Linked DNA regions of Arabidopsis thaliana. The protein of the gene in region 2 interacts with the protein of the main gene of each other region in a pairwise test. Each region holds a gene or a part of one and is shown on either strand. Other genes may lie near its edges.

The links.
Region 1: the proteins of AT5G55950 (region 2) and CLV1 interact in a protein complementation assay, tested with the Arabidopsis thaliana proteins (one large-scale study listed by BioGRID).

The regions. Positions count from the first base shown.
Region 1 is NC_003070.9:28,457,522-28,474,115, forward strand, and holds CLV1 (Leucine-rich receptor-like protein kinase family protein), read right to left. Parts: upstream 9,451-16,594; 5' UTR 9,132-9,450; coding exon 6,542-9,131; intron 6,463-6,541; coding exon 6,110-6,462; 3' UTR 5,823-6,109; downstream 1-5,822. Other genes in the region: AT1G75800 (Pathogenesis-related thaumatin superfamily protein), read left to right, coding at 1,368-1,422, 1,504-2,206, 2,692-2,926; AT1G75810 (uncharacterized protein), read left to right, coding at 4,226-4,603; LCR67 (low-molecular-weight cysteine-rich 67), read left to right, coding at 14,884-14,947, 15,055-15,233.
Region 2 is NC_003076.8:22,653,099-22,668,333, forward strand, and holds AT5G55950 (Nucleotide/sugar transporter family protein), read right to left. Parts: upstream 7,408-15,235; 5' UTR 7,156-7,407; coding exon 7,077-7,155; intron 6,929-7,076; exon of another isoform or gene 6,861-6,928; coding exon 6,709-6,860; exon of another isoform or gene 6,624-6,708; coding exon 6,415-6,623; intron 6,337-6,414; coding exon 6,243-6,336; intron 6,145-6,242; coding exon 5,978-6,144; intron 5,892-5,977; coding exon 5,721-5,891; coding exon of another isoform or gene 5,660-5,720; exon of another isoform or gene 5,638-5,659; coding exon 5,313-5,637; 3' UTR 5,014-5,312; downstream 1-5,013. Other genes in the region: OPT1 (oligopeptide transporter 1), read left to right, coding at 86-543, 830-927, 1,004-1,576, 1,658-2,729; emb2731 (Uncharacterized protein family (UPF0172)), read right to left, coding at 3,158-3,188, 3,283-3,449, 3,955-4,014, 4,099-4,245, 4,575-4,796; AT5G55960 (transmembrane protein C9orf5 protein), read left to right, coding at 9,628-11,478, 11,569-11,664; AT5G55970 (RING/U-box superfamily protein), read left to right, coding at 14,921-15,235.

The DNA.
Region 1 (16,594 bases), on a different chromosome or scaffold from region 2:
AGTTAACGTTTGTTTTGTGCTATGTTTTTTGAATATGATCGAAAAGTTCATGCAATCTGCATTTCCAACCTAATTTATGGGCAGCACATTTGTGCTTTTGTTAAAATTTGCTGGGCTTATTCATTATACTAAACCATGCATAAAGGCCCATTAAATATCTTATTGTAATGTGACGGACGAAAAAAAAAACGTGAGGGAGGACGATGGCAATTGCTTACGATATATTGTAAAGTGGATGTGACCTGTCTGTCTACACAATATTACAAAGATGGTCGCTATTACTCCTACAAAAAATAATACAACGCAAAACAATTATTGAAAAATTATTCATCACTTTTGTATCTTTCAAACTTTCACAGTTCACACCACCTAAAAAACAGTAAAAAGTAACAACATTATCACTTTCCACAACAAAATATCTAACAACTTTGAGTATACAGAAATGTACATAGTACATACGTATAAGCAAAATGAATTTTGTTTCTCCTTTTTTTTCCTGGTGTATATCGTTGCAAACTTGCAATTGATCAATAAAACGCAAAGATATTATATTGAACAAATAAATAATTTTTATATAGCCAAGATATTATATGGATCCTCATTCCTCAAATATAATAATTTACATGGCCCGCGATTATCATGAAAGACGTTGAAACGTCCACTAATCGTACCTAGTTGTTCTGAAAATGAAATGATGATTTTATAAATGATATGGTTTTAGACTTTTGAAGTTCTTCATCACTTATTGTTAGATGAAACAACAACGTTGCATTCAAATCTCAAATTCCTATAAATCACAGATAAAAAAGTAATTTTGTTTTACACGTCTACGTGGTTACAAATCCTAATCACGTAACTAAACAGTAAAGTTAAAGAATCTTGAAAAATAAAGATCTACTTTACGTTTTGTAGATATTTTTAATTAAAAGTGAACGTCAAAAGGTAATTGGATATTTTCGTTAAAATGTTATCAATCAAACTCGGACAACAATTAGTGGTAATTTAACTATTTAAAAACCAGACTAACCCATTATCGTATAGTGCTAATTATGAACTATGAACCGATTAAACAACAAAATTTACTATATAAAATCATCAGGTGCTTTTCTTAATCTCAACGGTTAAAAAAAATAACCAATTAGATGTGTCCACGTAAGCAGGCGTACCATAAGCTACCAACCAACACATACACCAGATTCTCACCAACAGAGGAAAAAAGCTTCTACTATAAAGCACACATCTTCTTCTTCATCTCTCTTTCGCTCTCAGAATCCTCTTTTAAGTCTCTGTTTCATAAATAAAACTAATAAAGAAGAAGAAGAAAACAGAGCAATTAAAGTCCTTAAATCTTCTTCTTCTCCAATTCAATGGCTCTTCCGTTGCCATTGATCTTCCTTATCTTCTCTCATTTGTTCGTTTCTGGTACGAATCTTCTCCTATAGATCAACTTTAGTTATGATTAATAATACTGTGATTCTGATGATTTTATGGTTTTATAAACAGGAGTTAGATCAACGAGCTTCATTATGGTGAACAAATGCGAATACACAGTCTGGCCTGGACTTTTATCAAACGCCGGAGTTCCACCACTTCCGACGACCGGATTCGTTCTCCAAAAAGGCGAAGAACGAACAATCAGCGCTCCAACTTCATGGGGAGGAAGATTCTGGGGGAGAACTCAATGTTCCACCGACACCGACGGAAAATTCACTTGTCTCACCGGAGATTGCGGATCTGGTACCCTCGAATGCTCCGGATCCGGAGCAACACCACCAGCAACACTAGCGGAATTCACACTAGACGGATCTAACGGACTCGATTTCTACGACGTTAGTCTCGTCGACGGTTACAACGTCCCGATGCTAGTGGCTCCACAAGGAGGCTCGGGTTTAAACTGTAGCAGCACCGGATGCGTTGTAGATCTGAACGGTTCGTGTCCGTCGGAGCTTAAAGTGACGAGTTTAGACGGCAGAGGTAAACAATCCATGGGATGTAAAAGCGCGTGTGAAGCTTTTCGTACGCCGGAGTATTGTTGCAGCGGCGCCCACGGTACACCTGACACGTGTAAACCGTCGTCGTACTCGTTGATGTTTAAAACTGCGTGTCCACGTGCTTACAGCTACGCTTACGATGATCAGAGTAGTACCTTCACATGTGCTGAATCTCCTAATTACGTTATCACGTTTTGCCCTACTCCTAACACCAGGTGATTATTCCATTTATACCCTTTTATAACTATTAACACACCTTGCCTATGAGGGTAGTTTTGTCAATATAGAATGTATCTTCTTCACTGTTGCACCAAATTAGCATGGATAGTAGTTTATGATTATGGTTATTTTCGTCAATTACTGCAGACACCATATTTACTAACCATTAATTACCTTTTGCTTACCGTGCAATTGAAGTAACGCTTAATTATAGCTAGAAATAAATTACTCCGAATCTATAGAATTTTGCTTTATACTGCAAAAAGAAAAATTTGTTTATTTACGATTTTTTTTCTTTTTTTCTTATCAATTTGTTTGATAGTCCCAATTTACCCTCGAATATGAAGATAGATTTATTGGGATGTGGATCGTTAACGGCTCATCGAGATATTTTTTTATATGATCTCTAATCTCGAGGGGACGCGTGGCAGAATCACGTACACATTTACTAAGCGGCTATGTTTTTTTTTGTTTGTTGCAGTCAAAAATCATCTCAAGATCAGAGCCCAGATCCCAAACCGACGACACCAACCGGGACGTCGTCGACAACTCCTGCCGGAGATAGTAGTACGACGTGGTCACCGGTAGATACATCAATGATATACGAAGGAGCTTTGGATCAAAACAAAGGATCACCGTCCACGTGTCATCTTTCGTTATGTGGAATCACAGTCACACTTGCGCTGGCCTTTTGTCGGATGTGGCGGCTCTTTTGACACCTAACTTTGTCTCCCGCGTAAAACACTGAAGAATGTGGGCCCTCACTGACGAAAGCCTTATCTCGTTCCGGCCCATGTGAACCGGTTATTCCCGAACGACGTCGGATTGGGTCAGAGTTGAGAAAAAAAGTTAACAACACCCTACAGTTACGAAAATATCCTTCATTCATGTTCATGGGAGAATTCTTAATTTGGGTGAGGAACACGTGGGCAAGAAAGTGGGCTGCTGGTGGAGTTCATAAAAGATGGGAATGTTTAATTGTAAGGTCAGAATATTTATTTGATTTATAATGTAACTAGGATTAGAAGAATATTATGTACACTATATAAAGCAGTAATCTATTTAGTTTAAAGCTATATATTGGAAACTATTGGTGGGAATATTTCATTTAATTGTTATCTGCTGATGCTGCGTTGGCCATTCGGAACATTGAAATGAATAATACTAATATTCATTTCATGGTCTTGTCCCAACTACTGTATTTAATAATAATTTGACTTTACAAGCCGCATATGAGAGCCATAAGAAATTCTCTATTATAAGTTTCAAAAGTTAAATGGACCTACACAGTAATAGTGATACCACTAGCTGAAAAAAGATTAAAGAGATAATCTTAATTAAGTGTGAGTTGATGACGATGCCTTTGATTTACAGTGGGAGTAAACCTATAAATATAAACCAAGTGTCTGTTTCACTGCATATGATTTGCCAAAAAAATATCATAAGATTAAAGCCATCATGGAATATGATGAAGACATGCCATAATATCTCATAGGAAACACACCACTATTCAAATTAGAAGAACTCTTAATAGTTAATACCAAGATGGGTCTAATACTGGAGCCCATTACTGATTTTAGAGGCCCGTTAGAAACAATTACTAAGTCCAAAGAGCATTTATTTTTGAGTACGACGATCAAATTTTGACCACAGACATAAATAGAGCCTCTTGAGGACTTTGAGGACCTTGACAACGACATGCGTGAGAATGTCATACACCCATAAATGTAGTGCGTGGCAAGTCTGACCAAATCCCGAAACGGTGACGTTTTACGGGAAGGGTACTTTTACCAAACTCTTCTCGCATTAGTGATGAGCCATAGAGAGGAAGCAAAAGATCTTGTCAAGGGTGTTTTAGTAATTTCAAAATATCCTTCCCTTCGTTGACAAGGATGACGTCTTTTTGAGTATTTCAACATCCACCACAATTTCGCTTTTCTCCACTTTTTCTGTTAAAAAGCTTCCTCCACCGCAACGAATTTCACGGCGACGGTGAAGAAGAAGTAAAGTCCTAGATGTGTCTCATGGCGTTATCCGACGCGGTTCTCGGGAATCTCGCGACGATCTACGTGGCGGTGATTATCGCGATTAAAGCCTACGGATTAATCACCGGGAGGAGTTTCAGCGCTGGATTCGTCGTCGTCGTTTCGATTACGGCAGTTGGTGTTTTGCTTGCAGTTACGCTTGCTTGGGATGTGTCTCGTAGAGCAGCGGAGGCGGTTTCTCGGTACAATCGTGTTGGTGGTGAGGAAGATCTTAGCCACCACCGTCACCATCACGACGGTGGTGCGATTTGTAAAGGAGGGATTTGCTGGCACGGCGTTGCGGTTCGGTCTCCGGCTTCACAGGTTCGATTTAGGCTTCCACAACATATACCTTACGGTGCTTTCTGAGTATATAAACTTCGAATTTTCCCTCTTTATTTTGACTTTTGTGAAGTAGATAACATGTGTTAGATATATACGTTTCTCATAGATTTTCTGTGTAATAGATGATGATGAGGAATAAGGTAATGGTGTTCTTCTTCTTGTAAGTTGGAAGGTTTTTGTTTGTATTGATATGTTGTAAAATCGGATAGTGATTGTGATGATTATAGATATGATGTTCTTGTTTTTAAAAGTAAAAATGGATTTTGAATTTAAGAGCTGCACTGTTATCCAAATTTGAATGTTGATACTCGAGTCTTACCACTGAATGAGGATTGTGGCATTGAGAATTTTGGGGGATTCTTAATGAAGAGACTAAAACAGAGTAATCTAAATAACATGTGTTCGGAGTTAAGGAATAAGGTAATGATGTTCTTCTTCGTGTAAGCTGGGAGGTTTTTGTTTGTATTGATATGTTGTAAAATCGGATAGTGATTATGATGATGATAGATGTTCTTGTTTTCTTTATACAATCGATTTTGAATTTTGAGAGCTGCAGTGTTGTTTAAATCTGAATGAAACTCAGGTCTTTCCAAGTTAATCAAGATTGTGGCCTTGAAAGTTTTGTGATTTAAATTGTATATGATTCTTAATGAAGAGACTAAAACAGAGTAATGAAGGATCTTGTTTCTCTACCTTAATGAATTTGTGACTAATTTGCCTTGTCTTCTTCTCACACCCGTTTATAAGTTGTGACTATGTGCCTTGTCTTCTTCTCTGAATTGCTCTATGAATGGAGGTAAGAGTTATGGATAGAATTAGCTTCACAGCATCATCCTCATCTTGTGGGAAAATGCACATTATAGAGGTTGAATTCTGTTGTTCATGAACTTTTAAAGCTTCTTGGTTGTTGATTTCTGTGAATTTTTCCGGTTTCTTAGTTTATGTGTGTTTTGCTTCAAGAGCAGAAACTACAATGTTATGACCCTGAGGTGATTTTCTTAGCTCGTAAAAATATGAGAAGTGAATGACCCCCAAGAACTCAATGAAACTGGTCATTATTCCAAATGCAGAGTACGAGTCCAATCTCTTAATCAACCATTAGTCTGTTGATTCCGTGTTTTTTTTTATCAGATGTGTTTCCTTTTTATTTTCCGAGCCATCTGCTGGTAAATACTTTGTAAGTAAGGTCAAGATTGCAACATGACACTGTCGGAAGCTAACACAAACCTGAATTTAGATATGACCCTAATTCACATATTCTAAACAGTCTAGACTTAAATCCAGAGGTCAAAGCTCTCACATTCTTTTATTTTATACACTCTGAACGGAGAATTAGCTAAAGTTTAAAGCCATCAAGCAATAAGCATATTGATTACATTACATACTCGAGATAATAACACATAAAGAGGTAATATACAAATTGAAACACAACAAATATACAAACCCGAAAGTATTAGAAACCATAAATAAGAACACCCAAAAAATGATCACCACATTTCGCATCTTATTTTCATATTTATCTTGCTTGGGTCAGAACGCGATCAAGTTCGCCACGGATTTAGGAGGGTTAGTGAGCATGTGCACAACTTCCCTCATCGTAGGCCTTGCCGCGGCTTCTTCCTCCACACACATCATTGCGATCTTGAACACATGAATCACACTTGTCAACGGGTAACCAGTCAACCTCGGGTCAACAATCGCAACAACAATAGCAGCATCCGATGGCTGAGTTATCTCCTCTTCCGTGTTCCTCACCCACCTAACTATATCCACTCCTTCTCCAAATTCACCAACAGGTTTCTTCCCAGCTATTAACTCCAACAAAACCACTCCGAAACTATACACATCACTCTTCTCGTCCACTTTCAAGGTATATGCATACTCTATGCAAACCAAAAACAAAATGATAATCAGAACATATATCATTTTGGTGAGTACTAATGTTGTTGACATGTAACTAACCTGGGGCGATGTATCCATAAGAGCCAGCAATTGAAGACATACACTCAGAAGCAGCACCATCAACTAAGAACTTAGCAAGCCCAAAATCAGCAACATGGGCTTCAAAATCAGAGTCCAAAAGAATGTTATTGGACTTAACATCTCTATGCAAGATCAATGGTGAACAATCATGGTGAAGATAACACAAGCCCTTTGCAGCTTCCACGGCTACTCTATGTCTCGTCTCCCATTGAAGATGACCACCTTTAGATCCATGCAAAAGCTCTCCAAGGCTTCCATTAGGCATGTACTCATAAAGAAGGAGATTCGTATCCTTGTTCGCTACGTAACCAAGAAGTCTCACTATGTGACGGTGGCGGATTCTCCCCAAAGTTTGAATCTCCGCCGTGAATCCATGATCGCTCCTCCCGGTCCCACGGCCAACGAGTCGTTTAATCGCGACGTCTACGTTGTTTGGCATTGATCCACGGTAGACAATTCCAGCTCCGCCTTTACCGATTATGTTCTCTTCTTTAAGACACTCGAGAACGTCTTCAGATTTGAAATCTAGTTTCTGGAAGGCGGTTAGTTTCCAGGCGAGAGATTTCTGGTTCTTCTTCTTATTCATCTGACGAATCGCTACACTGATTAGGATCAAACCGGTGATCGCTGCGATAACCGTGATTACGATCCTTGACGGTGAGAACAACGCCGTGTGATTGTGATCGGAGGTTTGTCCTGGCCGTGTTGGACAAGAGACACGGTGAGGGAGACAGAGGTAAGTGTTTCCGGCGAAGGAAGTTTCGTTGAACACCAAGAATTGACCACCGAGTGGTACTCTACCGGAGAGATCGTTGAAAGAGAGATCGAGAGTTGTTAAACTCGTCATGTTTCCGATTCCGGTAGGGATTGAACCGGTTAATTGATTACCGGAGATATTTAGAGTTCCTAAGTTTTTCACGTTGTTGATCCCTTTAGGGATTTCTCCGTTGATTCGGTTACGGCTGAGATCGACGGAGATTAAAGTTGAGCAGCGAGAGATTGAATCTGGAATACCGCCGGTGATGTTGTTCGCACTTGTGTTGATCCTCGATAAATGCTTCAATTCGAAGATTTCTCTCGGAATGTTGCCGCGAAATCGGTTCCGATCTAAGAATAGAGTCTGTAGATTGGGGAAATTACCAATCGCAGGTGGAATCTCGCCGGAAAACCAGTTGTTAGAGAGGTAAATCTGATCGAGAACATCGCCGGACATCGTTACCGGAAGTTCACCGGAGAAGAAATTATCAGTGAGTTCGATAATCGTAACTAACGGTAGATTGAAAAGCCCCGCCGGAACAGTGCCGTTGAGAAGATTCTTAACGATTCTGATTTTGGTTAAGGATTTGCATTTACCAAGCTCTTCTGGAATTGGACCAAAGAAGAAGTTGTTAGAGAGAATTAACATCTCTAATTTCTCACCTCTGCATAAGTCCTTGGGGATAAGTCCGGTGAGATGATTATCAGAGACATCAAGCTTTATTAGATTCCCGTTCCGGCCAAGATTCGCCGGTAATTGTAACGTGAAATTGTTCTCCCATACTTCGAAGACTTCGAGTTTTGGTAATTCTCCGATGGCCTCTGGTATTTGTCCGTAGAGATTGTTTCTGAAGAGATTGATTAGAGTAATGTTTCCGAGATTGATGAAGCTTTGAGGGATTTCTCCGGTTAACTGATTGATTGATAAATCGAGAGATTTCAAGCTGACTAAACCGGAAAGCTCCGGTGGTATATGACCGGTTAAGTTGTTGATGTGAAGAAACAGAGTATGTAGATGTTTCAGGTTACTTAAACTCGTCGGAATCTCTCCGGTGAGTGTACAGCTCGCCATGTCGAGGATCTCAAGCTTTGTTAAACCACCGAACTCCGGTGGAACACCACCGGTGTAGCTGTTGTAGTAGCCAATATACATTTCTCTTAAGTTCTTGAGGCGGGAAAGAAACGCCGGAGATTTACCGGAGAGTCCAGCTCCGTTGAGACCAAGATACTCTAAGCTTTGAATATCTCCATAACTCTCTGGAATCTCTCCGCTGAAGAAATTTCCACCGAAAGAGAGGTATTTAAGCTTCTTAAGCTCTGACATCTCCGGTGGTAACTTACCGTTGAAATTGTTGTTATAAGTGTCAAGAACTTCAAGATCAACCATAGCTTTTAAAATCTCTCCAGGGAATGTTCCAGTAAGGTTACCATTGTTGGAGATATTCAAAACCTTGAGAGAAGTTAGACTCTTCATCTCCAATGGTAATTCACCGGTGAAGTTGTTGGCAGCTAAAGTTAGATTCACCAAATGAGTCAACATCCCAATCTCTGGTGAGATTGTACCAAACAAAGGAGTGAAGGAGACGTTGAGAGAGATAACACGAGCATCGTCGTCACATGAGACGCCGGAGAAAGAACAGTGAGCATCCGGAGAAGATGAGTGAATCCAGTCGTGGAGACCGTGTCCTTTAGGACCAATCATGGAGGATTTGAGATTGAGAAGAACTTCCATGTCAGTGTAAGCGAAACATGGTGAGAAAAATAGATACAGATGCAGAAACAGAAGATGAGTCTTCAAAAGTCTCATCGCCATTTTTTTAGTGTCCTCTCAGTGAGAAAGAGCGAGAGAAAATAATAAGATAGCGTGAGTGTTATGCGATAGGACACAGAGACATGAACAATGGCATATTATGAAGAAGAAGATGAAGAGAATCGATGTGGTACTACTGTTCTAAATACCGTAAGACTTTGTGAGCGAATATATACTTTTATGTGACTTTACATAAATATTGTTATTATTAAAAATAATGCGCCAAAATACTTTTATGTGTTCATTTTTCAAATTATCTTGTAAATCTTGTTATGGTTACTGTCTTAAGTAGATTTATCATTTGTGAATAGAGAAATTTTACGAAAATAAAAGATAATTAAGGTACAATTGATCAGAGAACCATCTGCTGATCTTGCAGGTAGATAGATACAAACTATACGACTTATGGTCAAACACATACGTCTCAGTCTCTCATTGGCTATTTTTACATTCGATTCTTTTATAACGAGTGATCAATAATATTGCTGAGATTGTACTTTCAAATTTGGTCACACACTATTCAAACTCTAAAATCACTGGAATTACACTAGAAAGGCAGTTTTACTGGAGTCAAACTTTAGAGTTTTTAGTAGCCGCCACTACTACACTTATTAGACATGGAGAAACGGGAACGTCGTCGTTTTCTTCTTCTCTGATAAGTCTTCTGACACGATTTGTTTTGGCTTCATCAAACAAAAATCAATAGATAAGAGGTTCACGGCGTTTTAAATTTAACGGTGTAGAGATGCATCTCTTCTTTAACATTGACAGATCTTTATCTAAACGGCGTTGATCTGACCGTTATAAATGCTATAGACAGGACATAACGTTACGTTCCCTAGAGCCTGTGGTTTCTTCTTTCTTTCTTCTGTCGCCGTCTTGTCAACGGCACCAGTTATATAATCCGACGGCGTTTATAGCATCGTCGTCACGTGATGGGGAGAAAAGAGGAATAAGAAGACAAGGAGAGAAGTAAATGGGCTTTAATTAGAAGTAGGGCCTATTTTTCTAATTGGCCCGTATAGAAAGTCTGTCTGTGTCCTTTTCCTAAAGAGACAAATTTGCCCCTTGTGGTTTTTTTGGCTTTAACTTCCAAGTCAACGCTCTTTCTTGTATTTTGTCTTCTCACTTCTCGTTCATTCATACACTCCACTCACCGGTCTGTCACCATACAGACCTTCTGCTTCAAGGTCCCCACGCTCTATGTTCATATTTTACCTTTGTTTCGTTCGTGTGACTCTCTTGAAAACATTAGGGATTTATTCACTTCGGTCCATTTAAGATTTGATCGTGATTAGTCCAAAGTCCAAACCGATCAAATTAATAGCAACTGCCGATACCAAATTATATTCGTTTTGTAATCGGTGATTCAGAAAAAAGTTCAATGTATATAAATTCGTTCGTAGTGTTGATATTAGGACAAATCACTAGTTTGAAACTAAAGATACTAAAAACTATTTAATGTTTGAAGTTTTAGGTTTAGTTGTTAATACTTTTGGCTGAAAACGTGTCAATTTTGTTGTTAATGATGGCAAAACGAATAGCAAAATATTCCTAATGAATTAGGCCGAATGATATGATTAATATGCTTAACTTACATAAGTGAATCTTTCTTAATTATAAGTAAGCACCTTAAAGCAGTTTTTACAAGATCGATTCTGCCACAATCAAAATCGATTCTATCAACAATCTAACAATAAAATAATAATAGTTGTGAATTAATGGTCTGCCGTTATACAAGCACTATGGTTCTTGGCGAATATATCTTCATCCCGCTAACAATTTTTTTAGTTTGATAGAAAAATATATCAGGTGCTTTAGCAACAAAAAGGGATTTTAATCTTTAAAGAAATCTATACACTTGGGGTTGACATACACTTGGGGACCAATGTTCTATTATTATTGCGGTATATTGGTATAAAGGTCCTTCCTAAATGGCAGCGAATTTCTCATATTAATAATCTTTTGTGCATTCTCTTTTAGATATTATCTTATGATATACATTAGATTAAGAAGTAAACGCTGAAAAATATGCATACTTAGCAACAAATAAATGTGCTTTTTTCTCGTGTCTATTTGGTTTAACTTAAGTGGATTGAGAATCAGATCAACAGGTACAAGTGCAACCTTTAAAACAATGAGATGTCAATTAGTGATGAAGAAGAGAGCATCTCTTATGTGATTCGCTGAAAATGCTCTAACTCAATGAACTTTGGGAATAAAGGTTTAGGTTCTCTTCAGCAGAAAAGGAGCTCTTTTTAGTAAGTGGGAAATTTTATTATTGTAAAAAAGAATCTCTAAACTTTGGATTATTTTCTGATGTAAATAGTATAATATACATATAGGAGAATAATATAACGACATATAGCAACGATGGAAAATTTATCACCAAAAATCATGTCATCTTTATCACTAAATGACTCAAGGGTGAAAGAACTTTGGACCAATTTCTAGATGGATATCAATAAATTTGTTGAAATTAAATTATACGAAAGGGAATTAAACTGTAGAAGCTTGGTTCACATGTTTGATTTTCACAAAAATGTTTCGATTTGAACTTGCCATAGTACAATTTGCAACATATGCTTCTTTTACTCTGTTGTTTGCGTTATAATAAAATCGTCTCAAAATATTTAAAAATCATATGCAATTTGATTTAAGAATAAATTTGGAACTGTTTAGAAAGTTAGGTACCCAATTCATATACTTATTAAATACAATAAATAAATCATAAAGTTTTATATACAGATGCACCAATTGTTTATAGATTATCTGTATACACAATTACACACTCTACTAATCAATGTACTTTAGCATAGAATAATACTTTTACTTCTACTAAGCTTGTTTCACTAATTATAATGTTTAGTTAGAGATAAAACCATTGAAAAATCTCAAAAAGTAATAATCAATATAAACAAATAGAGAGAGCAATGATAATAATAAGATATATAGGTCATAGTCTTGTCAATCATGTTAATGATAAAAACGACAAGGCTACAAAAGTAGTAGTAGAAGTAGAAGAAGAAGATGATGATAGTGAAGACAAACTTGTGTCATAAGTGGTCTTACACAAATCCGTCTTGGAAACTGGTGTTTGCCTAATGGCCCTGCTGGGCTTTTGCTTCAGTCATTACCGAATCCTCTTGTATTGGCAGCTTTAATCCCAAATCTATTCAACTCATGCAATGATTTTGGACGAAGAAACTTCTCAATCCCAAATGACCCTTACTTCACCTTTCACTTTTTGTTCCATCGTAAAGATTTGAAACTTTTTAGATCTTATGAAAAGGCACCACATCTTCATCAAGTATTTTCTTTAAAATGTAGGGGAAAAAAAAATCTAGTTCTTTTGTTCATAGTCAACCTGGACCAGTAGGTCGTTGGGCCTTGGGTCTTCAGTCACGTCGGCAATCAACATTCACTTACCCATTTGAAACATTGGATCAGCGTGACCAATGCCAACCCATTAATCTAAATGGTTTAAACAATCAAGCGTGCAAGGATAAATGCATTGGACTTGAGAGAACAAGATATGGAATTTGAAATGTTGCCTTACCAGTTAACAAGTGTCTCTGTTTCCTCCCAAGTTAATGTACCAAAACTCTTTGGTGCTTAATTGTGGGGGCTTTTATAATATTGGGTACATTTTGGGCCATAAATTAGAGAAAGAGCACATTATGATTGAGTTTATGAAGATAGGCAGTTTTTGGGAAATAAATTGACGAAATTGCCCCTGCGATTTCACTCATTCTCCTAAATTGTTTTTGCAGAATCTTTTCCTGAATTGTTTTTGCAGAGCCTCATATTGGATCGATTCCTAACTTGTTTCAATGGATGATGTATTAAGTACAGAGATTGATTATCCTATTTCTCTACTTAATCAATGTTTCTTTCTACAAGACAATATATACACAAAAGATGTATTTACGGAAACAAAATCGATAGAGACAAAAATTAGAAAATCTGTTAATAACATTTCATCACCATCCAATTCAGATAAACCCCAATAAAATCAGTTAAAAGCTTTTTGATGGAAGAAAGCTAACCCCTAAGAAAATATTATATAACGAACCCAAATATACTAATCTTAAATAATTGGAATCGATTAAAATTTTCAATTATTTCTTATCCCTCTTTGAAATTGAAGAAAGAGAGGATGAAATTAATTCAGATCAAACAATTCAAATTCAAAAAAGCTATGGAGGATTACCACCTGCATCGTCGAGGAAGAAGATTGGCCAGGCATAGATCTGAATTTTGTAAGGTGATGGAGAAGCAATGGACATCAATGGTGAGTTTAGAGGCAATAGATTCCATGCCATTAGAGAAAGAGAAAGAGAGAGAAATAATCGCACATTTCTGAGATCGATTGATATTGATGAATTCTCCTCAATTAGATTGAAGGTACAAGGAGAAGAAACTCAATTAGATTGAAGGATAAAACAGTCATCCATATAATATAAAAGTATCTAAATTTGTAAGGAACATGAGATGTTCCTATATCTACAAAAGCACAGACTTTAATATGCTAATCCCATAATTGATCCCTTAATTGTGTGTGTATTCAAAATAAGCCCACTTCTTATAGGCAATGTAACACTTGACTCAAAAGCCAAAGCAGCCACTTAAATAGTTAAGTTACATTAAACAGAGAAGCAGCCTTCCCTAAGTTAAGCATTCTTAATCTAACCAAATATAATTCATATCTAACAATGTTAACTTCTCTTTCTATTCTTAATAATAACCTAACAAATTAACTTGGGTGGTGTACTATTCTGAGTTTGTTACTTGTCTTGTCCATGCACGGCTAGTGCTGGTGCTGTCTTAGAAGGGCTTGAAGGTACGTGGCTGTTGATACAGAAAATGTTTAAAGAGGAGACAAGTCTTTGTCAAAGTTTGCGGATGACGGCTATGAAATCGAAAACGAATTTTCTTTCAGTTTTTCTTAAAAATTTTTTTTTACCTTAAAACAATAAGTTAAATAAATAAAATTAAATCGGATTTATCTTCTCGGTCGTCCGAAAATGGCAGAGTTGAATCCAAGAAGTTTTGTGTGGGAGTTGAGGTGGGAACTACGAAATTAAATATAATCTATGCGCTATTTTACAAATTTGTTAGTCCAAATCCACTATGTTGCTAATATTTAATTACATGTTTAGATCCTAATTAGTTTGATGATTATATAATCAATACCAAAGAAAGTGAAGAAATAACCTAATTTATCAACTTGCCAGCTAGTGAAGTAGCTCCTTGGAGGTTTCAGTAAAAAATAATAAAAGTCGATAAAAAAATACTACCCAACTTCATGGTTTATTATTAAATGCGATGTGGTCGAGACAAAGTACCACTTGAGTACCGTACTAGGATATGCTCAACATATTTAAAATTTTGACCAAGTCAAATTAACCAGCCAGAGATGTTAACAGTTAATGTAGTAGCCACCGGTCCAATGAAATTGCAAATGAACAAACGTAGCACCTGAAAACTCGCCACCGATCACGATCAGCACACTTTTTATGAATTGGTCAAGATATTATCTTCTATCATTAGATGAATACTTGCATGTTAGTATTCTCTACTATCAGACGGTGTGTATTTTTTTATTTATAGGGTTGAACGCTTTATTGTCCCATGCACACGTAAAAGTCGACCTCCCCATCATTTTTTCACTATAAATAGTGGTTGATTTCAAGCAGATTTCTTCAAACTAAAACATATATACATCGAAAACAACTAAGTATAAACAATAGTCATGGCTAAGTCTGCTACCATCGTTACTCTTTTCTTCGCTGCTCTTGTTTTCTTTGCTGCTCTTGGTGAGTAATGATGTTATCGTATACCATATGCATGGAAAATTGAGTTTTAACCTTTTTTCTTTCATTTTATTGTGATAATTAACTGTGAGAGATATATCTATATGCAGAAGCACCGATGGTGGTGGAAGCACAGAAGTTGTGCGAGAGGCCAAGTGGGACATGGTCCGGAGTTTGCGGAAACAGTAACGCGTGCAAGAATCAGTGCATTAACCTTGAGAAAGCACGACATGGATCTTGCAACTATGTCTTCCCAGCTCACAAATGTATCTGCTACTTCCCATGTTAATCTACCAAGAGCTCTTAATGCTTAATTATAAAGTGTGTATTTCTATTAAATAAGTATGTGTCACTCTATGAGAGGTCTTATGACATGTACCAGATATGTTATGTTGCTTTGTTTTAATAAGATAAACTTTTACGTACGACGTATACTACTGTTTCTTCTTGTCCATATTTGTCTGCAAAACTCCAACACAACACAAACGATTATTTGAAAATAGAGAATCGGAGGAATATGTTATAGTATTTCATAAAAACTGCTTATAATAAAGAGTATTCAGCTTATACATAAAAGAGAGCTAGCTACATAACACAATCTCCGACTTAATTATATACCAAAGAGATTTACCTAGCTAATTCAACTTTAAAAAACGAGGTCTTGTGTTGACATCTTTGAATTTTTATTTATTGTACTTAGGCTCGGCTACAATGTAAAAAACAGGCGGTTTCGGAGAAGAATACCAAATGTATGTTTCCACCAAAATTATGTCAATTTACAAGACTGATATCTAGAATGTTCATGCTGATCAGCTAGTTATGTGGTTATTCAAAAAATATCTATAGATATCCCAATTCCAAGATTTGTAAATTATGTTAATATAAACAAAACTGTTACTTCTATGGAGTTTGAACCAGCGTGGCAAAAATTTCCTGCACCCATATTAATATTAAATTATCTCAAGCTAGTATCTGATGTTAGATTTGTACTGTGTATCACACTGTACGTATGCTTGCTTACTTATTACTCTATTACAACAGATATTTGTGTGTTTTCATTGTTAAATAATGTAACAGAAATTTGTGGGTTTGACTGTTCTTTTTACTGAATTTCTCACTACTTGAAGTCTAACTAGAATAACATGTGACTGTTTTATAATTTATAGTTCGAGGTTGATTCAGAAAAGTCGTAAAAATCTCTCATAAATGTATTACCGTATGGCTCTATATTGCATATATGGGCCCAATGTCTCAAGTCTCAACCATGTTTTAAATTTTCAGTACTAAGCAATGCATATGTTTTTGTTAGACACAATTTTTCTTCTTTTTTTGATAAAATGTGAGTTTTTTTTTTTTTTTGAAATGTGATTAATTACCAAAATGGAAACATTGTTACTTGCAAAAATCTTTGGGACAAATAGCTTCTAAGACAATTTGTTTTTTAAAAAGCCTCAGAAACTAATAAACGCAAAGATTACAAATAGAGAACTATTACGAGCTAGGCATGGGAAAACCATTGAGAGAGCAGTCACCGCGGCCTTTGCGGTACCTTCGAGCCAGGAGAGTGTCTCTAATTAATGTGCTCCTGTCGATTTGCTTAAAGACAGAGGCAAATCTGTTATGGAGACTGTTTGTACTTGTCAAACTATG
Region 2 (15,235 bases):
GTTTTGTTTCGATTCTTTAAATCTTCTAGTCGTTTATGGTTGGTTGGTTTAAGAGTGTGTGTTTGGATTGAATTTTAACGTGCAGGAGAAGAAGAGGTGTTGGAGGAGGAGAATGATAATCCGATTGAAGAAGTCCGGTTAACGGTACCGATAACCGACGATCCAACACTACCGGTGCTAACGTTTCGAACATGGACTCTTGGACTTTTCTCTTGCATATTGCTTGCCTTCGTGAACCAGTTCTTTGGTTTCCGGTCGAACCAGCTTTGGGTATCTTCAGTTGCGGCACAGATCGTGACCCTTCCGCTAGGGAAACTCATGGCAAAGACGCTACCGACAAAGAAATTTGGGTTTCCCGGGACGAATTGGTCGTGGTCTTTTAACCCTGGTCCGTTCAATATGAAGGAACATGTTCTTATTACAATATTTGCTAACACCGGAGCTGGTGGAGTTTACGCCACCAGTATTATTACCATTGTTAAAGCGTTTTATAATCGTCAACTTAATGTCGCCGCCGCCATGTTGCTCACTCAAACCACTCAGGTATATAGTTTTTACATGTCTTAAGTTTTATTGTCTTTTTGTTTTTATAATGGGTGGATATAACAGTAGCTACACAAAAAAAAAAAGCTATTATCTTCTTGATTACGTTCTTCAATCTTTATGATTACTGATTATTATTTTTCTCGCATTTTATACATTTACAAATTATTATATTCATTTTGTTGTTGTGGGTAATAGTCATTTAAATACTAGAACTATGGCCTAAGAAACAAATATTTTTAACGATTTGTGATCTTTAAGACTTTAACAATCATTTCTTTTGCAGTTGTTGGGATATGGATGGGCTGGAATCTTCAGGAAGTTCCTTGTGGATTCACCGTATATGTGGTGGCCGTCAAATTTGGTTCAAGTCTCACTCTTTAGGTTCGTTTCAATGACCCATATATGTGACTCTTATTGCTTTCTCTTAAGCCAAGTTTTGATTTTGGCTATGTAACAGAGCTTTACATGAGAAGGAGGATCTACAAAAAGGGCAACAAACAAGGTTTAGATTCTTCATCATTGTCTTCTGTGTGAGCTTTGCTTACTACATAATCCCCGGCTACCTTTTCCCTTCCATTTCCGCAATTTCATTTGTTTGCTGGATTTGGAAAAGCTCAGTGACCGCTCAGATTGTCGGTTCTGGGCTCAAGGGTTTAGGTATTGGTTCGTTCGGTCTTGACTGGTCCACAGTTGCTGGTTTCTTAGGCAGTCCGTTGGCTGTACCATTCTTCGCCATTGCCAATTTCTTTGGAGGATTCTTCATCTTTTTATACATTGTTCTACCTATCTTCTACTGGACTAATGCTTATGATGCTCAGAAGTTTCCGTTCTATACTTCACACACCTTTGATCAGACTGGACACACCTATAACATTACCCGTATCCTCAATGAGAAGAATTTCGATATCAATCTAGACGCTTACAACGGTTACAGCAAGCTCTATTTGAGTGTGATGTTCGCGTTGCTCTATGGACTCAGCTTTGGTTCTCTTTGCGCTACCATCTCTCATGTTGCCCTCTATGATGGAAAGTAAGGACCTTCCAACATCTTTTGAATAGCTTATTTTCTATGATGACTCTCTCTAAGCTTCTTTTGTGTTTGTATCTTAAGGTTTATATGGGGAATGTGGAAGAAGGCAAAGACAGCAACAAAGGACAAGTACGGTGACGTGCATTCGAGATTGATGAAGAAGAATTATCAATCAGTACCTCAATGGTGGTTCATCGCAGTTCTAGTTATTTCCTTTGCTTTCGCACTCTATGCTTGCGAGGGCTTTGACAAACAGCTTCAGCTCCCATGGTGGGGACTTATACTCGCTTGCGCCATCGCTTTGTTCTTCACATTACCTATCGGAGTTATCCAAGCAACTACTAACCAGCAAATGGGTCTTAACGTTATAACAGAACTGATCATCGGGTACTTATACCCAGGAAAGCCACTAGCCAATGTCGCTTTCAAGACATACGGATACATCAGTATGTCTCAAGCCTTGTACTTTGTAGGAGACTTCAAGCTTGGTCACTACATGAAGATTCCTCCAAGATCAATGTTCATCGTCCAGCTTGTTGCAACTGTGGTTGCATCAACTGTCTGCTTCGGAACAACCTGGTGGCTCATTACATCCGTCGAGAACATATGTAATGTCGATTTGCTCCCGGTGGGTAGTCCATGGACTTGTCCTGGAGATGAAGTGTTCTACAATGCATCAATCATATGGGGAGTGATTGGTCCAGGGAGAATGTTTACCAAAGAAGGTATCTATCCCGGGATGAACTGGTTCTTCCTTATCGGTCTCCTCGCTCCAGTTCCCTTCTGGTACCTATCGAAGAAGTTCCCAGAGAAGAAATGGCTAAAACAGATCCATGTTCCCTTGATCTTCTCTGCAGTAAGCGCCATGCCACAAGCTAAGGCTGTGCATTACTGGTCCTGGGCCATCGTTGGGGTTGTGTTCAACTACTACATCTTCAGGAGGTTCAAAACTTGGTGGGCGAGGCACAATTACATCCTCTCTGCGGCGCTTGATGCAGGTACTGCGATTATGGGAGTGTTGATATTCTTCGCATTCCAGAACAATGATATAAGCTTACCTGATTGGTGGGGGCTTGAGAATTCAGACCATTGCCCTCTAGCGCATTGCCCTCTAGCCAAAGGTGTTGTTGTTGAAGGTTGTCCCGTGTTTTAAGAATTGAAGTAGATGCAACGTTGTCCTGAAAGGGGTAACTGTTGATGGCTTCGGTAACCTTATATCTGTGTAAAACCCTCCAAGTTAAGGGACTCAAACAATGTAAAGCACTAGATTTGGTTTCATGTTCTTCAGTATTTAACTATTCCCTTTGTAAGTATAAGAACAGTAGCCAAATAAAGTAGAGCTTTCTTCATTCCAACTATATAATCAAAATGTAACAAGCTCCAAAAGATATCATTCAAATGATATAACTAAGGTTTAAGATGTGTACCAATTAAAAGTAATTTGAGCTCTGTTGCATAGCTGGATAATACTTTAACAAGATTCAAGGGAAATTTTAAACAATGGTCTCCGAGAACTTTTTTGTTTTTCGACAGAAGATGATGAAAGCAAAAGTCTAGTTTAGCTATGTCGCATACCCATCTTCAGTTGAAAAGTCCAGGGTTTAGCCAGTCCCTGCAATTACAGTGAATATGAGTGAGATATTACCATCTGGTACATAAAGGTTCTAGCTTCTTTTTTTTTGTTTCAGTTCGTGTATTTAACTTACTTTGTTACATCATCAAGATGATCATCAACATCTGTGACGTCCTTCCATTTCTCAGATGAAATGTAATCTGACAAAACTACATTGGCCGATGGCTCTTTTAAGAGTAGCTTGCTTCCTCCATCTGCTCCAACTACTCTCCAGTTCTTAGAAGCATCCTTCACACAGAGCTAGCATATACATACAACATACACTATCACTAAATCCGTAAAAAGTGACAAATAGGAGTTTAACAGCTGCAGAGAAACTGCATCAAGCAGAAAGTACCAAAAGAAAAGGGCGAGAAAGGGTTTATTACATAGACCATATAAGCTTGGTGTCAAGAAGGTTGGTAGCACAATTCAAGCAAACAGTGTGAACTTTAATTAGCTAGTATAGTCATGTATATCTTATAAATTTACAGTATTTGCTTAGGATGCAAAGTTGAGACAAGAGCCTGGAGTAACCATAAATTAGCATATACAACAAAATTTGAGTGTCTCAGTCTTTCACTATTTTCTCTTGATCTTATATTGAGCATAACAATATACCAAAACCATATTTTCAAATACCAAGAAGCTATACTGGTGTAGAGTGGCCTTGATATATATTAAATACTAAATTGACTAACTTCTCAATCTCATATTCATATTCTCCTAAGCTTTTCAAAGCATTTTCATGATTAGAAATACCAACCTGCATCACAGGGCTTCGCTCTTTACCCTTTGATAAGGCTTCAAGCTTTTTGTTGTTCAACTACAAACAGCATAAAGGGACAAAACATAAGATAGTTAAACGAAAATGCTGCATTTGAAAGTAAAGGATAAGACATTTAATTACCAAGAGAATTGGTGCCTGAGGGAAATAGCGAGAAATGTGATCACCAATGTTTTTAGCCACACCACAGAGCTCAACGTCATCAAACCTCTCGTTTGCATGAAAGTATCCAACAATACTTAAACCTTGAGCCACATAATGCTCCTCTATCTACCACAACAAAAAATATACCTGAATCCGTAAGTTTTTCTTTAAAGGATATAGGTACAAACAAAGCTACAGAACAAACACATAAAGATCTGAAATTTCTATGTTAATATAGAAACAACAATAAGACTTCACTGAGAATCAAGCAAACATATAGAAAACTAAGAACAAGCTAATAATAACATATGCAGCTCAAGCTTAGTACACGAACTAAAAATTTCCAGAATTCGTAATTCAATATACATACCAATGCAATCAGATCATAATCTCTTTCAAAATTCAATTTCAAAGCTCGTAAAATCAAATCGATTCGAATAAGAAGAGATACGAACCATGATGAGGGAGATCTCGAGAGGAGGAAGGAGAGCGAGGTTAGAGTGAAAGAGCGGCACAGAATCTGAGATCTCTACAACTCCGTCGTCCTTAGGGCTGATTCTACCGACGAGGACTCCGTTGACCGCCGCCGTCTTGTGTCGCAGCGAGTGAAGAACGAGTTTGATGTACGCGTTCTGGGAGATCTCATACTTCAATTCTCCGTTACTTCCCATTCCCATTTCTAACTCGATCGGCGACTCACTGAGTCAATTGAAAGGAAAATTATAATGTCGCAAAAGCAAATCGAGAAATCGTTCTGAGATTTAGCTCCTTTGTTAACGACGGACAGTGGAATCTCGCACTAAACCGGGTTCGGGTCAGCCCGATTTTATCACCGAAAACCCTATTCCCCACAAGTTTTCACTTTACTACATTAAAGTTTTTGAAATTATAGAAAAAGTCAAAAAGGTTTATTATATTTACTAATTGCACCTCATAATACACATCAAGTGACGACAAAAAAAAAAATACACATCAAGTTTTACATTACTTCTAAACTACACCATCTATTTCATTATCGTACAAATAAACCCACCAAGCCCTCTTGTCACATTATGATATCAAAATATTTTTATTAGTATACTTTACTACACTAATTTGATATCAAAACTGAACCAATTTTACAAACTAAAACCTGAAGAAGAAAAAGTAAAACTCATTTTTTTTCTCTTTGGCAATCTAATCAAATTGTAAAACTATACGATATTTGCAGTTATCGTCTTGGAGAGAAGTGGGTCAACAGAAACTACGGTTACTCCGGTCTCTCCTCCTCCGTCGTCAGCCTCGGCTTTAGGTTTTGAAACGGTGACGTTTTGCTTTGGCAGCTGCTTGTTTGACATGTGATCGATGGATTTCCCCGGAAGATTGAGCCACGTGTAGACAGACATGCCTCCAAGAGCTGCGATAGCGCCGCAGATGCTGATGAAACCAGGGTCAGAGCCGAAGATAACGTAACCTCCAAGCAAGATCACACATGTCTTGAATTGCCCTAATACTACATGAGATGTTGCTGATGTTGCCCTGTAAGAAACAACAAATTTAGTTAGCATTTTATAACCTCAAGACTGAACTTCCAACCAAAGCAAGAGAACAAAAAGACTAACCCGAGAGCGAGTGCACCAGACCATTGGAGAAGAAAGCCGAGAAGAGCCGAGATGAGGATTGCGGAAGAGTTAGTTAAATCCCATTTGAAAAGCAAAACTCCAGGTGGGTCAAGCCATGGCATGAGAGCCAACAAGAAGAAGACAGTAAACGGTGTTGTCTTCCACATCAATCTACATTCAATAAAGCCTTTATTTTAAGAGACTTGTATTGCTTACACCTCAAGTAAAAGTAAAAGAGAGAGATTCTTATTTCTTACGCTAGGGCAGTCCAATTAGCTTGTTGCTGAAGATTAGACCAGAGTATTTTGTTAATGGCACTTGGAATAATCCAAGCAACAGCAACTAATGCACCAAACAAATTAAATTCTAGATCCGTCACTGTCGCGATTGCCACACCTAGAGATACTACAGCTAATGCCATGACCTGTAAGAGGACAAATTGCAAAAACAGAGTAAGCACCAAAAACATGTAATGAATTCTTGATTGTTTTGTTGACATGTCATAAAAGATATAAGCGAAACCTTTGTGGAAGAAATGGTTTTCTTGAAGAGAACAAACTCGGCAAGAACAATCGTTGGTGTAACTGCGATCTTAGCCATTTGATAGAATCCAACGCTGGAAACAAAGAAGAACAAAAGCTTTCAAGCTTAAGCTATGAATCTTGATTCAAACTTTAGCGATTGAGCTATGAACCTATTGTGTTTGAGACTGGTATTAGCGAGTCCAGAAGCAAAGGCCATGACAGCTCCAAGAGAGAAAAGAGATGAGAAAGGTGTTGTCTTTGATGGAGGAGACATTGGAAGCAAAGAGAGAGACTTGAAGAAAGCTAAAAGAATCCAAGCCACGGTATAATGAATCAATGTTAGAAAGATTGGGAAATTGAATCCAACTCTTCCCATCACCTGCACAATTCAACCTTACAATTACATTCACATGGTAAATAAAAAAAAGAGAAAGAAGAATTTGAGATTGAAGAAACCAAATTACTAATTTATTGGCAAGGATGATTCCAACAGCAACAACGAAATTAAAGGACATTGCAACAACAGGGCCACAAAATCTCTGTTGTTGCCTTTTAGCTCCTTCTGATGTTTTAAGCTCATTGTACAAAGAACTTCTGAGTTCTTCCAAAGCTCGTCCTACAAATTCACAAACAGATCAAAAAAGCCTAAAGGTCCGATCAAAACCATTAAAGATCCGATCAAAACCATTTAACTTAAACGGTGAAGAACAGAGACAACGTGGGAATAAATAAAGCATCATTTTTGATCATGAGAAATCTGAATTATGATGAGGCAAATCAAATGAAGAATATGGAGGCAGATTCATGAATTGTTGTTATAATAATGACGTACCTGCTTCTGCAGCATCACTATCTTTCCTTTTGAGAAATTTTCTTGCATCTTTTCCTAACAAAGAATCAACCAGACCCATCACACAGCAAATTAACAAAAATAAAAAATTTGCAATCCTCTCTCCGATTGTTTTAATATCTTCTAAGAAAAAAACCAGATCACATTTTCCATTTTGATGGAAGAAAAACTTTACTTTTAAACAAATAATACGAAAATGACTGAAAAAAATCTGGATTTTAATGTCATGGTATAATTGTTTCGGCTGTTGTACAAGAAGCAGAGCCCTTATAGAGAGAGAGAGAGAGAGAAAAAAAGATAGAAATTTAGCAGTTTGCTTGAAAACGCAGTTTCATTGCGTATCTTTCTGTTTTATTTTATTTTAAATCAATTTATCTCGAAAATTAAGAAAATTTTGAGGAATTTTTCAGGGATTTTTTTTGTTTCTCTTGAGGAAATTGTCGAGTTTGTAATTTGCCACGTGTTGACTTCATCAACGTACAAAATTGTGACTTCATTGATAAAAAATTATTCAGATCGGTACGAGGTTTTATCTTTCTTTCTTTTTTAATGCACAAAACATTCAGATTTTAGTGGTAGTTTTTATTTACAAGAGTGCCTCTGTACCTAACAAAATTAAAACACACACATATATATATATATATATATATGACATTAACTAACTACCAATTTTGTGATCACAATAATGACATTGTACATTTTTGTACATAGTTTAAGCTGCTAGCTTATAGTCATAAGCATATAGACGTCACCTCACGCAACATACTGTTGTGGAAACATAACACTATCAGTAAAAAAAATTAACTTTGAAAGAGTAGCGTTAATTAGTTCCGCAACCTACCAAAAGAAAGAAAGAAAGAAGTGTTAGTTAGCCAAATGATTAAATAGCAAAAGCTTTGGTTAAGTGTCATACGTATAAAGAGTAAATTAAATGAATTTTATGTATAAGTGATGAAAGTTGATGATACTTAAAAAGCTTATTATCACTTTACGAATAAAAATGACTTAACATGTACGCTTGACCTCGAAAACGAGAAGCTTTAATTCCAAGATTTCGAAGTCTCAACAAACTTTTGGAGCCGAGGGCCTACGTAATAAAACAAAAAGCTTGCATGGCCACGTCATCATCTCTTTGTATAAGTAAACTTCTTATTCTAATAAAAATGTAAGATTTGTGGATCCACTACTTTAATTTCTGTCGATTTTAGTATGATTGAAACATTAACACCGATAAAGTCAGGTCCCCTGGTCGTCTTTTGGTTCATAAAGGTAATCCCATTTTGGCGAAATTTGTTTGAACTTGGAAGTGGAAGAAGTGAAAATACATGTAGCACAAGACTGAGATTGACGAGCCTTATTGATTCGGCCCATTTTTATTCAGACCTTATGTTAGTTAACTGGCCCGATCAGCCGCCTGATGGCTGGTGAATAAACCCGATCATTACTCAATAAATCACACAATTATTATTGTAAATCTTTTTCATCTAACTAAAATACTGAACTTTCTAAACAATTGACCATTTTGTTTTGTTTATTGTTTTACAGAAGAATTAATGTTTCCATGCATTACGGATTTATAGTTAAGATTTTAAAGTCTAGAGGTTAGATTTAATTAGAGTTTGAATTTAAATTATTTTATTAATTTATGAAACTCTACACTATTTTTTTTAATAATGTTGATACAAAATTTAGGTTATTCACGTAATTCTCGTATTATGAATTTATTATGTACTTGACAGAATTATTTCATCAATCTTTTTTTCGTTAATTTTTTCCCAAAATTTTAGCCCATGTTTTTAAAAACATGGGGCCAACTTTTGATCATGATTCATGCATGATATCAAGCACTAATTTGTCATTTCCTAACAAATTTCCTGATAGAAAACTTGGGTCAACGTTCTGGTACGGTAATATTAAAAATTTATAATCAAGAAATGGAACTTCGTGCCATAAAATAAAATAGTAAGAAAATGGTAATCACGTGTAAGTAAATATTAATCGAGTGCTTGTTTTGGAATAGAAGAAATAAATCTGTCGATCTTACAATAATCACAGAGACAGGAGAACGTGTTAGATTGTGAGTTTGTGACTTGCGTTAATTATCTGGCTTTGTTGTGTCATGCATGTTCTAGGCATGTGACATTCTTTTAGTTGACAATTTGTATCGGTCTAATTTACTTATAGCAAAAACATCAATAAAGTTTCATAAAAAAAATTATGTCTCAAATTACTGATTTTAATTCCAGGAATAGACCCATCAATTAGTCGTCGGTTAGGGCATTTCCGTCATTTTAAAGTTAAACTAAGATAGTTTCTCTTTTCTGTCTCCTCCATTAATGTCCCAATCATAAAACATTCAATTATCATCTGAGATTTGAGAATAATAAATAAATAAATAAATAAAAATCTGAAACATCTCTTTCTCTGTTTCTTCTTACAGCTTCAAGGCAAAACAAACCCCCAAACAAACAAAAAACCTTCTTTTCAAAGATTTTCAAAAAATCGGCTCTTGGAGGGAGACAGAGATTGATCGATGGAATTGGTCCCGTACGATTCGGAGACGAAATCATCGATCCCCACAAATCTCGCGTGGCAAGAGATGTTTCGTTCCGCTTCATCTCGTAAACCTCAAGACCCTCCGTCTTCTTCTTCTTCATCGCCACCGCGTAAACCTTCCGGCGATGGATCATCAAGCAAAACATCTTTATCAACCGTTGATTCCCAAGCCCGTCTCGCTATGTACATAGCAATGGCTCACGCTGGTCTCGCTTTCGCCATTTGTGTTCTGTATTTCGTCGGAAAGCTATTACAAGAGTATCTAAGACCGATTCAATGGGCGATTCTCTGTTCGATTCCTTTACGAGGTATTCAAGAAACCCTTGTTGATTTCTGGAGCGAGCCTTTGAAATTAGGGCTTACGGAAGTTGTTCTCGCTGTTCCTGTTTCTGTCTTCAATGTTTTCATCGGGTCGATTGTGGATATTAAAAACGTCTGCTTTAGGGTTTTTCTTAGGAGATCGAAACCTAAGAGAACGAGGAAGAAGAACGATACTGGGTTTTCTAAACTGGTTAAATGGTTAGTCTCTTTTGGTGTCTTTGTCATTGCTTATGAGAGGATTGGTGGAATTGGGTCTCTTGTCATTCTCTCTTTAGGGTTTTTGTTTAGTTCCAAGAATGTTGATTCGTCTCTCTCTGCGGTCTCTTCTCTGAGGAGTAATAGTTTTAGGAGAAGCCATTTCACTGCTTATTTCACTAGAGGGATAATGACGAGATTGAATACTATAGTTGCTATTGGTTTGATTGTGCTCATGATTGTTGGATCTTTGACTGGTGTCATCTTCTTCTCGTATAAGATTGGTGTTGAAGGGAAAGATGCTGTTTATTCTCTGAAATCTCATGTTGAAGAGAGTAATTACGCTGAGAAGATTGGGATCAAGCAATGGATGGATGAGAATGATGTTCCGGGAATGGTTGATATGTATACAACGAAGTTTTATGAAACGGTTTCTGAGCAGATTGATAGTTTGGCAATGCAGTATAATATGACGGAGTTAGTCACTGGGATTAAGCATTTTGTGATCGGGCATCCTCAGAACACGTCGACGCCTTCCACGGCGCTTATAACTCCGTCTCCTTATACAGAGAAGCTCATGAGTTTGAGGACTCGGGTTAAGAATCGAGAGTGGAGTCAGATATACTCGGAGGTTGATGTGATCTTCAGGGAGCTTATTATCACTAGAGAAGATTTAGTAGAGAAAGCTAAAGGCTTTGCTGTTAAAGGAATGGATGTATCGCAACGGGTTTTCTCGAGCAGCGCATCGGTTGTTGGAGGCGGTGCTAAGTTCGTTTTCTCTATTGGAAACTTGATAATCTCAGGAGCAGCAGAGTTTTTCAACTTTATCTCTCAGCTAATGATTTTCATTTGGGTTTTATACATTCTTATCACATCAGAATCAGGCGGTGTGACTGAGCAAGTCATGAACATGCTCCCGATCAACGCAAGCGCTAGAAACAGATGTGTCGAAGTCTTAGACTTAGCGATATCCGGCGTGCTTTTAGCAACAGCGGAAATCGCCTTCTTCCAAGGATGTCTCACTTGGCTATTGTTTAGACTATACAATATACATTTCCTTTACATGTCAACCGTTCTTGCCTTCATCAGCGCTCTGTTACCGATTTTCCCTTACTGGTTCGCGACAATCCCAGCGGCTTTGCAGCTCGTGCTAGAAGGAAGATATATTGTTGCAGTGATTTTATCTGTGACTCATCTTGTGCTAATGGAGTATGGTGCTTCAGAGATTCAAGATGACATTCCTGGGTCCAATGCTTACCTTACTGGACTAAGTATTATTGGTGGAGTCACTCTGTTTCCTTCTGCTCTAGAGGTAAGAAAATTAAAGGATTGGGTCTTTATGAAATTTGGAACAAAAATTGGCGATTTTGTAATGTTTTTTTCGGGTATTTTGTTGTTGCAGGGAGCGATAATGGGGCCGTTGATAACGACGGTGGTGATTGCTTTGAAGGATCTGTATGCAGAGTTTGTTCTGAATGAGCCAAAGAAGATCAATTAGTTGTTATTGGTTTCTTTAATAGGAGCTTCAAGTGCTTTTGCCGTGGCTGCTTTGTCTTGGAAGAAGATTCATGTAGATTAGTAGAGAGACTCAAGTGTTGATTGAAGTGTGTGTTTTGTGTGGATTGTAATTTATAGTGTGGAGAGAAATGTGTAGCAGTAAATTTCAATTTCTTGTTGTCACTGTTGTATTATTGTATGAGTTCTGATTCTTTTGGGAAACCTTGTAAATTTCTTTGCCATATTCGTTTTTCTTTTAAACTTTAGGTTTTACAAATAACTTATGGAATTAGCATTTGAATTAGAGTTGAGCTGACGAAAATGTTAATAATCTGTTGTATTTTTTTTGTAAAAGTATATGTTTATAAACATGAAATATAAATATTCTTACTTAACAAAACAAAACAAATGGTGTTATACAGTAGTTAAGAGAGCTTAAAGCCCAATACCAATCAAACCATCTCTAGCTTATACAAATGATGTTATTATGACAACTAAGCCCAATCAAATAAGAGTATGTGCAGTAAATTGTAGTAACTAGTAGTATCAAATTATAATAAATACGGGTACGTAAGTGTAAGTGATGTCGGAAGTACCAAAGAAGCGGGTCAGAGCCGTGTTACAGAAACTGATAATGCGACTTCAAGCTAATAATAATCCACGTGTCTTGTGCTCGTGTGACGTGTCATGATTTGATGTTGTTTTTTGGATTTTCCTTTCTTTCCACAAATAAATAATTGGTCAATGTTGAGTGATGGAGATTTTCTCTTGTTTAAAGTAATCATGTTCGTTAAGTTATATCCCGCCATTGGTCCCCGAATGGTCGACGAGGCCGACATATGTATGCAAATACATGGTCTAAAATGAAATTTAAATAACGTCATGAAATAATATTTTAATTAAATTATCCTTATTATAAGATCACAGAGTATACAAGTCTTTTTGTTACTAGTGTTTTAATTGTTTAATCACCATTGCGTAATGGGTTCATTACGACAAATCTAGAAAAGTATCCTCTGTTTCGTTTTACTAGTTGACAACTATAAAGGTTTTAGATAAAGTTGGAAAATACCATTTGGATTTTTGTGTTGTCAGTGTCACCTGTTTAAATACTTACTATTTTAAGAATATACTATACATGGCAATATAGCTTATTCGCTATTTACTAGTCTCGGAATTCGGAAATTACAACTTAAGAGGTCAAAAGGTTAGAATGATAGACCAGCGAAAGTACAAATAAGCAAATTTATAAAAATCTTCGTTTCGACTAGTAGTACATATATTTGACAAATATTGACAAATTTAACGTCCATGAAAATGTGTACTTTTTAAGAACGCAACAAACAACAGAATATTTTCTTATCTATATTCAAAAAAGTTATAAGAAGTCAAAACGTTAGAATGAGAGACCAACGAAAATACTATAGATTAGAAAAACTACTAGTACATGTTAACACATAATATCTGACATATGTTACTTGTAAACATATGAAACACTTGACAAAATTTAACATTTTATCAATAACAAGGTGTATTTTTCAAACTCCACAAACAATAGAATATTTGAATTGTCATATTTATTAAAAGGTTTTATTAGTAATTTGTTTTATACCTCACATTCTACACCAACCTAAAATGTCAACTCCGCGATCTATCCGAGCATGAACCAGAACATAGAATTACTTGACCAAAGACCTCCGACATCAACGGAACGTTCTAGAAATTTGAATTTATAAATTTCATTCAAAATTGGTTTATCTTATAGTATATCCTTGACCACTATTCTATATATAATCCGACAAAATAAAATAAAAATGAGGAAAACAACGTGGAAAAAGAGAGAATGGGCTCCATAACGTTTAGATGATAGAAAAATCTTCTGGTTGAGATTAGTTAGCCAACCATCCCCACTCCTTCCAATAGTACCCGCCATTTTTTCAATTGTATTGCCAAATTTAGTAATTTCACGCATTTTAATTTATACAAAATTTTAATAATAGAAAAAAATTTGGTTATCATATTTTTTTTTCGGTTCTTATTTTTCTCTTTATTATAATATTTTTTTATTTTCATAATTTTCTTATCAACACCAGCTAATTTTGGTTCTTCGATACATGCTCTTTTTATGCTTTTGACCTGCCTTATATATACTCAACTGAAAATAATGAAACAAAGTAAAATATTCGTGTTCCACTAAAATCAAAATATTTTCTAATCATTTTCACTATATATCGAATAAAACATTACCATAACATGAAAATCTCAAAAAGTCATATACAGTATATGTAAATCCACAGGAAGCTAAAAGATGATTTTTCAATATTACTATATTTAGAGAAGAGAAGATTTTTCTGTTAGAACAAAAAAGATTGTTATATAGGTGAAATGAATGATGACTTCATTGAGATATGTTATTCTTATCCATTTCTTTTGATAAAGATATATATAATAATAAACTCCGAAACAAAAAAAAAGGATCAAAAATTGAAGTATCTCTTTACCTTTGCCCACAATTCTAGAGAGAAAAAGAGGGTCTGCTTTGGCGGTTGGAAGTAGCAGTTGCTATCAAAAACATTGCTTCATAAACAAAACCTCAGGTGTTAGATTAGGCCAACCGTTATCTTCTATATCTTCTTCTTCTTCTTCTCTTTGATTCTTCAAACCAAAGCATTAACAAATAAAGATTCCTTTTTGTTATGGTTTGATTTATTGGTCGCCATCTCTCGCCCAACTTCACCTTCTCTGACATAATCACTACACCTTCTTCCTCTCTGTTTCTATATCAGAAACTTCATCTTCCTCTCAAGTTTTCTCATTTCACACTCAAATTCAATTCCCTTTGTTCGTGAGGTTGAATTTCGGTTGCAAACATTTGGGTTTGTTGTAAATTAAGGTTCCGTTTGTAAAAGAGATTCCTTTTTATTTGGGGAAATCGAGGAGTTCGTGTACGGAGCTGAGTTTTTGCCTTTTTGATGGTTGCAGATAAGGTATTTGATTATATTCCTCAGTGAAGTTTCATGTGTGTTATTCTTTTGTTATTGTTGTTGGGTCATGGAAATTTCATGACTTTAATTCTTTTTTTTCTTTCATGTGTGTTTCATGATCATTTCGTGTATATAGTTAAGGTTCCATGTGTGTGTGCTCATAACTTATAAACCTTTGTTGCAGAATCTCATTTAATTCTTCTCTCTATGCAATCTTTTTTTGTTTGTTTGTCCTGTGAAGGTCTAAAATCTTGAAGGATTCAAAAATTTCCGATGAATACACGTTATTCCAATCAGCCGGAGTTATCTTCTAGTAATATCACGATCACTATTTCATCGTCTGCTTTGTTAAGCTCCTCACCGCGAGGCGATAACAGTCATGTTGCTGCTGCTAATGGTCAAGAGAGGTCTCCATCTTCGTTTTATATAAGGCTGGCTATGAAGGTATCTAGAGCTAGATGGTTCATCTTCTTGAGAAGAGTGTTTCACTACCAGAACGGTTCAAGATCTGACCTTGGGTCTAATCCTTTCAATTCTAGCACTTGGATGATGTCTGAGCTCATTGCTCTACTTGTTCAGCTCACTGTG